3 linked regions of the Xenopus tropicalis genome follow. The protein of the gene in region 3 binds, or shares a complex with, the protein of the main gene of each other region. Links are inferred from orthologs where the notes say so. Each region holds a gene or a part of one and is shown on either strand. Other genes may lie near its edges.

Evidence for each region. The genes of interacting proteins can lie anywhere in the genome.
Region 1: cir1 (region 3) and hdac3 share a complex: the UniProt entries of both Homo sapiens proteins name them as parts of the notch corepressor complex. The link is inferred for Xenopus tropicalis from reciprocal best matches to the Homo sapiens genes CIRSR and HDAC3.
Region 2: cir1 (region 3) and sap30 share a complex: the UniProt entries of both Homo sapiens proteins name them as parts of the histone deacetylase complex. The link is inferred for Xenopus tropicalis from reciprocal best matches to the Homo sapiens genes CIRSR and SAP30.

Annotation. Positions count from the first base shown.
Region 1 is NC_030679.2:27,758,513-27,762,092, forward strand, and holds part of hdac3 (histone deacetylase 3), read right to left. Parts: intron 3,550-3,580; coding exon 3,494-3,549; intron 2,653-3,493; coding exon 2,519-2,652; intron 1,313-2,518; coding exon 1,232-1,312; intron 1-1,231. UniProt on the Homo sapiens protein: Histone deacetylase that catalyzes the deacetylation of lysine residues on the N-terminal part of the core histones (H2A, H2B, H3 and H4), and some other non-histone substrates.
Region 2 is NC_030677.2:48,755,331-48,758,910, reverse strand, and holds part of sap30 (histone deacetylase complex subunit SAP30), read left to right. Parts: intron 1-2,441; coding exon 2,442-2,567; intron 2,568-3,580. UniProt on the Homo sapiens protein: Involved in the functional recruitment of the Sin3-histone deacetylase complex (HDAC) to a specific subset of N-CoR corepressor complexes. Capable of transcription repression by N-CoR.
Region 3 is NC_030685.2:66,439,961-66,443,141, forward strand, and holds the end of cir1 (corepressor interacting with RBPJ 1), read left to right. Parts: intron 1-2,110; coding exon 2,111-2,420; 3' UTR 2,421-2,662; downstream 2,663-3,181. UniProt on the Homo sapiens protein: May modulate splice site selection during alternative splicing of pre-mRNAs. Regulates transcription and acts as corepressor for RBPJ. Recruits RBPJ to the Sin3-histone deacetylase complex (HDAC). Required for RBPJ-mediated repression of transcription.

The DNA.
Region 1 (3,580 bases), on a different chromosome or scaffold from region 3:
CTCTTAGACAACCTCTGAGGCCGTCACAGAGCAGCTGTATTTGTACTGACATTAGATTACACACAGGTGCACTCTATTTAGTCATTAGCACTCATCAGGCAATGTCTATGGGCAACTGACTGCACTCAGACCAAAGGGGGCTGAATAATTACGCAAACCCCACTTTGCAGTTATTTATTTGTAAAAAATGTTTGGAATCATGTATGATTTTCATTCCACTTCTCACATGTACACCACTTTGTATTGGTCTTTCACGTGGAATTCCAATAAAATTGATTCATGTTTGTGGCTGTAATGTGAAAAAATGTGGAAAAGTTCAAGGGGGCCGAATACTTTTGCAAGCCACTGTATTTCGTAGATAACACACATTTTTTAGTAACCCTGTAGCCTTTAGCTGTAAAAATCCCCATACAGAACCATTGCAATTCTAAATATTCTAGTTGTCATTAAACCAGTGGAATGACCTAATCACTGAACCCCTCTTGTGACAATGCTTTCAAGGGTCACTAAGCCTTAATTTTCTCCCTGTATTTTTCAAGCAAAAAAAATGTACAGCTGAATGTATAATGTGTTTCCTCCTGCTCCATTTCACCTAAGGTTTCATGAAGGGATACTGGCTTAATTTGCTATTTAAGCCTCTCATAGCACACACTGGCCACAACTTACTGTATCCCAAATCAAACGCCACCCTTTAATGCTATAATCTCCTAATAATAAATCAGCAAAAGACAAAGAATTAAGTTATGGAAGAATTCTCGTAAAGAAGAATTAGTGTAAACTTTCTTAGCGTGATTCTTTGAGCTCTCTTGCTTTCTTTACAGTAACTTTTTAAAATGAATAGCAATAAACAATTGTGATATTAGATATTAGGAGTTTTATACTACTTGGCAGGCTTTCAGCTCAATAGCTTTTTGAAGACCCTGTGTCACTGCTCATTCTCAGTTGAGCCAAACACCTGGTATTAGCAGTCTGCAGAAACTGCAAATATTTCTATATTTTTAGACACCACATATAAAATTAATGTGAATTAATGATTTTAGCCTGCCTTTAAAAGAAAATACTTTTATAATAAGACATTACCATACTATAGGTATGCCCTTGTACCAAGCAGAACCTACTAGAAAAATGTATAGTGAACTTCAGTGTACACTCTGCTTGTGAACCAGGTATAGAACAAAAGATGATTGTGCCACCCAACTTACAGACCTTACTGATGGAAGCTGGAACTTACTTTGATCATCTATGCCATCTCTTAAGGGAACATTCAAACAGTAATATCTTCCACTTTCTGCTCCCACTTCGTACATATCCCCTATAGGATAAAACAGAAGCTGAATAATAAATATAATCAAAGTTTGTGGGGTTAAATTATCGAGTACCTTTCTTAGGCTCATGGCAATAGCTGACCATTTGTTTCTGGTAATGCCTTACAAGGCACCAGTTTGGTTATCAGGTAAATGTGTATGCTTCATGGAGGTGTGTTTTAAGACTCTGTGGGACAAAAGAGTGTCTGACATTGTGGGTTAATGAATTCCACAGGTATGGAGCTGCTCTAGTAAAGGTGAGCATGTGATGAGGTTACTAGAGCATCATTACCGTATATAGTCGAGAATAAGCCGAGGCGGAGCTTTCAGCACATTTTTCATGCTGAAAATCTCGGCTTATACTCGAGTATATACGGTAAGTTTAAGATCATTAGAGGATTGAAGTGGTTGATTTGGGGTGTACCTGGAGATAGGGCTGGAAATGTAAGGTGGAACATTGTTACTGAGGGCTTTGTAGGCGAATGTAAGGAGTAATAATTACATGGTCCTTCCCTACTGTTTTTTTCTTGTGAGGAGCTTCAGCTCCATGGACTTCCTTTCAGAACCAAGTCATTTGCTATCCTAATTAATAACTAACTCACACAATATTTAACCTATTGGACCATGGCTTGACAGTGTTTCATCACTTTAAAGTAAATACACATTATTATAGCTCTCTTTTGCATGCAGAACAGCAATTTACATGTTAGTAATGTCTGAATACAAAAAGGGTGCAAGATTGGCTACAGGAGGAAAAAAAAAAAGGTATACACAAGTGTTTATCCATGTAATCCAAATATATAATTACGTTTATCCATTTTGCACACTCGGCCGTTTCAAAGGCTGTTTATTACTGGTGAGCGACTGCCTACACTAGCAGATAAAGACTATTTTAGTATTACGGTCACATACTGGTGTATCTATTGTGAAGGTAGAAAAATGGCTTAGAAATTTGGACACAAGGGCAAACAGCCAATTATTCTTATTATTCTGACTATAGACCTTTCTTGCCTATTGTCTGGAATATAAAAGACTGGCTGTATATCAAAATGAAACATTTTATAATGCTATTTGGCCACTAGTTGCTAATTTATTATTAGCAAAATGATTTACAATAAGAGTAAGCATTTCAAGACATTTCTCCACCTGTGCTCCAACATTATGGTGTGTGTCCAACTGCCCTCATTTCTACTGTTCCTTTTAACAGTACTCACCTGTACCAGGGAAAAAATAATTCCCATACTTGTGAAATGATACTGTCATAACTCTGTCAGTGAGGTAGAATGCTTCCTGTACTCCATCTCCATGATGAATATCAATATCTACATAAAGAACACGAGGATGATACCTAGGGGTAAACCCACAAAACATTATGTTAACATGAAGTTCATAAAACAGGTAACATCCCTTTTGGGAAGTTATGTGCATCAGACTAAAACACAAGGAGAAAGAAATTAATTAATACTGCACAGTATGTGCATGCATTAACCCCTTTTGGGAAAGCAAGCTTCCTTTTGGGAGCACCCCTTGCAATTTTTCATTGTTTTTTTTTATTGTTTTGGATAAGTACCAGAGATTACAGGCCACACAAATGCACAAATAGTTACTACAGCTAAAAAATTTTGAAAAGTGAATCAAATGTATTTTTCCAAAACTACATGTTACTCTAATATTAGAAGCTGTTATTAGGTTCATAACTGCAGCATCCCAGAGAATGGGCAAGCATTCGCAGACTAGGCATTGTAAAACCAATGTAGAATGTATTATAGGATTATAAAATAAGACAAATTATCATAGGACTGCATCTACATCAGGGGTTCCCAAACGTTTTTACCTGTGAACAACTTTTAAATGTAAAAAAAGTTGGGGAGCAATGCAAGCATGAAAAAAGGTCCTAAAGATTGACCAGTAAGGGCTGTGATTGGTTATTTGGTAACTCAGTGTAGACTGGCAGCCTACAGGGGCCTCTGTTTGGCAGTACACATGGTTTCTATGCCTCCAATTCAGAAATTAAAAAATAAGCCCCTGCTTTGAGGTCCTTGGTAACAACATCCAATAGGTTGGTGAGCAACATGTTGCTTGCGAGCCACAGGTGGCGGATCACTGATCTACATGATGACAGCATACCTATTTATGGAAGTTTCTTCTTTTAGGAGAAAGCCATTTTAATTCAGATTTATGGTACTTACTTAAGTAGCTCAAGAATGCCAATAACGATGTCATTCACATAACAAAACCCAGATGCCTGTGATAAACAAAGAAATATAGCCGTCAAT
Region 2 (3,580 bases), on a different chromosome or scaffold from region 3:
TATAAGCACACTGTGGGGCATATTTATTATACTGTGTAAGAAATGGCGAGAAAATTCGCCGGGCTTCGCCGTATAAAAATGGCGTTAAAATGGCGTCATTGTTTTACGCGTTTTTTCTTCCACCAGAACTTATGGAAAATAACTGCGTAATATCCGCCGTTAAGATGGCGATCTTTTCCACTTATTTTACACAGCTTTTTACTGTTAGTTTTACACAGCATAATAAATACACCCCTATATGTTTTGGGCAGAGCCCTTTCTCAAGTGTACACTTTTTCAAGTGAAACTTGAGAAAGGGCTCTGCCCGAGTTTGTTAATACTGCTTGGAGCTCTTTGATTAAATTGTATCAATTGGTATAAGCATTTCACAGTGGAATGCACAACCATAGAGTTTCATCGCAGGCAAGGGGGAGTGAGAGAGATGAGCAGAATGGGAGGATTTAGGGGAACTCAGCTTGTGTATGTGTGGTGAGGTAATGCTTTGAATCTATTCATTTGCTGCACTGAATTTATTGGCATACCTGGGGTAAGTGTAGTGCTTGATTCATGATCCATGTCTACCGTGATATTAATGTCTTGTTCAAGGTTAATCTGATCATTGTCCATTTTCTGACCAAGCTGAATCCAAAGCAAAAATTAAATGACTTTAGGTTACATGATCAAGGAAATATATTTAATTATTCTGATTTTCATACACACATTCCATCATGAACCAAGGATTTGGAATGGGCAACTGTCAAACCATAAAAGACTGAGTTTTTTGCAGGAGTAAAATAATATTATGTTGAGGTTGACATATTTAATTATATAGGTTATTACAAAAGGCACTGCAATAGAATACACCAAGGATTACCACATCAGCATCCCATTATACCTCATACTGTCATAAGTGGTTACACAGTTGTGTAATCATCTTTGGTGTATTTAGCATTGTGTGAAATACTAGATTAAAAAGAGAAATGTTTTGGTTTTTTTTAACAGGAGTGTTGATTGTCTTAATTGTCACCACTTTGCATAGCTTTCTACACCCTTTATATGTCCGAATTTTTTTTTACCATGTGATTTGTCCCATTGACTTGATTGGGATACTCCAGCTCCGAGGTGGTGTAATAGTGAAATATATTGGCCTCAGTCTGGAGTAAAATCACTGACATGTTGATTATAAAGATTTAATTTATATACCATTTGATATATCTAATACAGCATATTGTATATACATGACTATAGCAATAAGAGTTTGCCTCTAAGGATACATGCTGGTAAAAACACACACCAATATTCCCCATGTCTGCGAATGTATGCTGTGATATCAATGGTATCAGAGGCATCAGGCAAGATTTTTTTTTTTTAAATAGGTTGATCTGAGCAAAGTCTGACAGTTCACCTTGTATTCTTAAGGTGACCATACACAGGCTATAAAAACTGCTGATGTCTGATTTTGGGGCCCCCAGATGAGCCTCCCCAACCGATAGCTGTCCAAAAATCGGGCATGTTTAAATATCCAGTAGTGATGAGGAGTGCATCACCACATCAATTCAGTCCTCATCTCGATGGCCTGTATCCCGTCAATTCGATGCGACGGGCCAAACAATCAAATCAATCTGATGTCGTCCACCTCAAGATGGACATATCGGTGACAGATAAGCTCATTTGACGACCTCGGCAAACAAGCAGATCTTCAAATATAAAGCCACTTTTAGTCCATTCTCCTACTGGAGTTGTATAATCTACTGTATATACCCACTAGTAAACAATAATTTCACACTCAAGAGACCTGAGATTCAAAATAGGCTCTAGTATTTTTAAGTGCACAAATTCACAAACTGTCCCACACAGGCCTAGTATAAAACACCTTTATTTATAAAACGCCTTTATAAATGGGAATGGTTAGTCCTGTTCTGTTATCTATCATCCGGAGGACCTGCTTTCCTAAGGACTTCTATTCAAAAAACAAAACTTTTGGGGGGACAACTGCCATAACCTCAGACATGACTCTTTGCATCCTGAGATGAGTTGGTGTCTACTTTTTGTTGGGCAGCAACCTGATTCCTGCAGCATTTAAAGGGAGTGTTAGATTCTGGCAGATGTTCTTGTAGACACTATCAACCAAGTATTTTAGTGACAGGTTGGTGCAATCTGCACATCCTATTTTCAAAATATAGTTGAATTCCAAAAAATTCAGGGATGGCTGGTGGGTTCTGTAACGCACAAAACTACTAATAATGCCACCGTCAGTGAGAAAGCATATGTATCTCAATGCATTATGGGAGTCCCATAAAATTGTGTGCCCTGTAGTAGATGATCTGCTTGTCTTCCACTTCCGCCATTTCTAGTATTTACTAAGCTTTACCAGATAGTAGGAAAAGTCTGTGCTTGTTCTGTTTATGATCATTTTCTCTCTAGGATATATCTGCAAACATTTGTTTCTGTCCTTTATTTAGGCAAGGCACCTTTATATTTGTGACTTTCACAAGAACTTAATTCAGAGTGTCAGAAATAGAAGGAAAAGGAAAGGCAGTGATGATGATGGAGGTGATTCCCCTGTTCATGACGCTGATACTCCTGAGGTATTTATGTTTCCCTCCTAGACTGTATATATTGTACATAAACTAAATGTAACTTTTAGCCTTTTTATTTTTTAGAAAGCTATAGAAGCAACTGCATTGTAACATTGCTGTCTCGCATTGCACTGCTATCATTACAAAGCTCCCCCTCTAGCTGTGCAAAGCTTCAATTGTTGAATTGTCAAGACATTATCTAATATGCTAGGGTTTGTTCAGGGGTAACTCTGAGGCCATAATAGTTTGTGAAGTAAGATATTGTGTGTCAGATATTCCCTAGATCAGCTCTGCCCAACATTTCCTGTGTAGTGCGCTAATTATCTGACATAGTAGTTATTTGTAGATTAGATTATATCAAAATGATGATGTACATGGAGCCATTGGTACAAATACCAACTCATGGGCCTCCAAATGGGCACTACTGTTCTGGATGATCAAAAATCTAAGGTAATGAAATGTTGCATTATATTGAAGAGGAAATGTATTTTGGACTGGGTTTCTTTCCTGGCTGGGTTCAGTGATTTTGTAAGAAAGAGCTATTGCTCCACCCTCTCCTTAGCAACCCTATTCTCATTATATAACTGTCAAATGAGTCAACAGCTGAAGGGAGAGACACTGAAACTGTGGGCAGATAAATGTATAAAAATACTGTTCAACATTAAATGAATTCTTCTAATAAGTGTGATATATTTTTATTGACTGTACTTTCTCTTGAAGACAAAATATCTATGTTTACAGATATTGGGTATGAGAGTTGGTTGGCTCACACAGTTAAAGGAATACTGTCATGGGAACATGTTTTTTCAAAACGCACCAGTTAATAGAGCTGGTACAGCAGAATCCTTCACTGAAATCCATTTTCAAAAACACAAATAGATTTTTTTAAATATGACATAGGGCTAAACATATTCTTCATTTCCCAGGGTGCCACAGCCATGTGACCTTTGCTCTGATAAACATCAGTCACACATTACTGCTGAGCTGCAAGTTGGAGTGATATCACCCCCGTCTCAGCAGCC
Region 3 (3,181 bases):
CCCCACTAAAATAAAATACAGTTTTGTTCCCTACACATACTGTAGACAGTAACCAATTAGTGTGGGCTGGAGGGGGCAGTTTGGGCCTCTGTTTACTTGAAATACCAGGGACTATTTTTGAATCACAGTCTGGCCTGCTCTCTGCTGGTTTAGTCCTATAATTTGCCAACTGCTTTAATTTGGTTAGGTGCGTTTGTTGCCAATGGAACATGCAATGCAACAATATAGCCCATAGGATAAACAGTCTGTTTGGCATTGCGGAACCAGCTGTAGAATAATGTACATTTTGTTTAAAAGATATCAAGAGATATTTAGGGCGTGTGTGATTTCACAAAAATATGTATAAATATCTCCGCACATAAGACCAAGTCCATGAAAGGCGTCCTTCTTAAATTGTTCTATTTTCAAAAAAACCTAATTCTGTCTTAACAGCATGGTTTGTATTTATATAGCTTGTAATGCATACTGTAATTGAATTGTCCATTGAAGGAAAATATTCCACAATGAGAAGAAAATGAATTATAGGATTTAGATTGTGAGTTGTTGTATAGTTTTCCCCTTTGGATACATTTTTCATCTCCAGCAGGGATGCTAGTATTATGTTAAGTGCAGATACGTGGTTATATTTCACATGGTTTCTAAAGAGAAAAACGGCTATTTCGTACAGCGCCTTACGCAGTTTGTAAATGGAATAATAGCTATGTTTGGCAAGATATATTTTGGGGGGAGGAAATAGCCTAATACCACTAAGGAAGATTTAGATACATGAGGGTTTTTCATTAGCCTCCCCCCCCCCCCCCGCCATATTGAGGCATATTTCTGAAACATTGTCATACATGCTCACTGTTTTATGTTAACATACAGTTATCGCAAGTTAATACAGGTATGGGACCTTTTATCCAGAATGCACAGAATATGGGGTTTTCCAGATAAAGGATTCTCCTGTAATTTGGACATTAACATTAATTAGAAATAGGATTGCTATGCCTCCAATAAGGATTGGGATCAAGTACAAGGTACTGTTTCATTGTTACAGAGAAAATTAAATCAGTTAATTTGATTAAAATGGAGTCAAGAATGACCTTCCTGTAATTTGGAGGTATTATAAATTTGACCAATCCCATACCTGTATATATAGAACTATCTACTGTGTAGTAGATTATTAGGCTGAATAACTGGATTGTATATAACAATATCTATCTGCAAGGTAGGGGGAAGGTGCCAACTCTCACACTTTCACTCTTATATCCTCCTGCACATATTAATGGCATGAGGGAAAGATAACCAAATCTTTGCAATGGCTGGAAACACCAAGATGAGTTTTCTTGTGGATTGGTCAATTACCTGCAGAGGCCTGACAATCTCCATGTGTGTGTCCAGCTTTAGTTACTCTAGTAATGGAATCTTTTGACCATAGATAATTCTTTCTTGACATTGCTTACTCTACCAGATATTATATACGAAACAATACCTTGGCTTTTTAAATGTAAATCTTTCCACTTTCATGGACGGGTAAGCTACCTTGTAACCATGGTTATCTACTTACTTCTGTAATAAAATCATTTTCATAGCCATCTGAACTGTATCGGTTGCAGAAATGGGCAGCTAAATGGAAGACAGTAAAAAATTAAGTGTAGAGAAATGTCGTTGTCTCTCTTCTAAGCAGAGCAAAATCAGAAGACTTTCCCTTTGGCTGTCAGGGCAGTAAAAAGCTAACCAGCAGGTGGCACAGTTGTTTCAGTTTCGCTATATTCGCAGTGTAAAAATTGCAAATATCTTAAATGAAAAGAAATGTAAATTACAATTTTACACAAGTTTTGTTTTGATGGCTGACATCTCCTTTAATTTAAAATAAGGTAAACTATGCTGTGAACAGGACCCTTGGCAACAAAACTGCGGCTATGATTATATAAAGATGAGAGAGTATTGCTTTATCAAAAAATGTATCTGCTTATCTTTACAGTTTTTTCTGTGTGTGGGGGGGGTTATTTTATAATTCAGTGTTCCTATTTAAAAACATGAAACAAATAATATAATCTGCTTCTTGGATAAATTGCTTATTGGGCAATAAGAACTTTTTTTTCCATTTTGCCATTTTTGTCTCAAATAGGAAGCTAGATCGACTTGAAAAGAAGAAAAAGAAGAAAGAAAAGAAACAGAAGAAATCCCAGAAGAAGAAAAGCAAGACTAAGCATAAGAAGCGCAAAAGCAGCAGCTCCTCCAGTGACACATCTAGTAGCAGTGCGAGTGAGTCGGAGAGTGAAGAGGAACAAAGACACAAGAAGAAGGAGACCAAAAAAGAGAAAAATGCTAAGGAAACAGACCAAAGCAGCAGTGACTCTGATGAAAAGCAGAAAACAAGAAAGACCAAAGCCTCGGAGCAATTGTTGAGTGAACGCAGAAGAAATAGCAGGATGTAGTAAGTCCTGACTGTAACTCAGACAGTAGTATCCAGAAACGGACTAAGAAGTCACAGAAAAGCCAAAGGCATTATAGAGCTAGAGCCAACAGTAACTCCAGCAGTGAACAGCCAAGGAACAGGCATAGAAGTAAGAGTAGAAGCAGGAGTAGGAGCATAAATAACTATGATTGTGGGAATAGCAAAGATAAAGAGAGAAACAAGGAAAAGAGGAGCAGGAGCAAAGACAGGCAAAGAGACAGGGGCCAGGATAGGGACAGGAGCCGGGAAGGGTATAGGGGCCAGGACAGGGCCAGAAGCCGGGAAGGGGAAAGGGACAGGAGCCGGGAAGGGAATAGGGGCCAGGACAGGGACAGGAATCGGGAAGGGTATAGGGGCCAGGACAGGGACAGGGACAGGAATAGGGGCCAGAACAGGAGCCAGGAAAGGGACAGGAGCCATCAAGACAGAGATCATAAAAGGAGATAGTATTTTATAAAGGACTCCACACATTGGATGCCCACTAAGAAATCCTTGTACCGTATGCATCTTCCTTGTAATCTTCCTTGGGATTTCAGTGCTGTGTATATACTTTTGTTTGGAATTAAAGAAAATATCCTTGCCCTTTTGTGCCTTACTCCGTGTCACAATGAATGCATTCTGGGCCTATCTTATGTGTGCCGTCTAATGGATGAGGCAGAATTTATAGCTTAAAGGATTCTGGCAATTGTAATGAACAGTAGGTTGTCTTTAATGATCCATACATAGTATAGATTGTGTAAA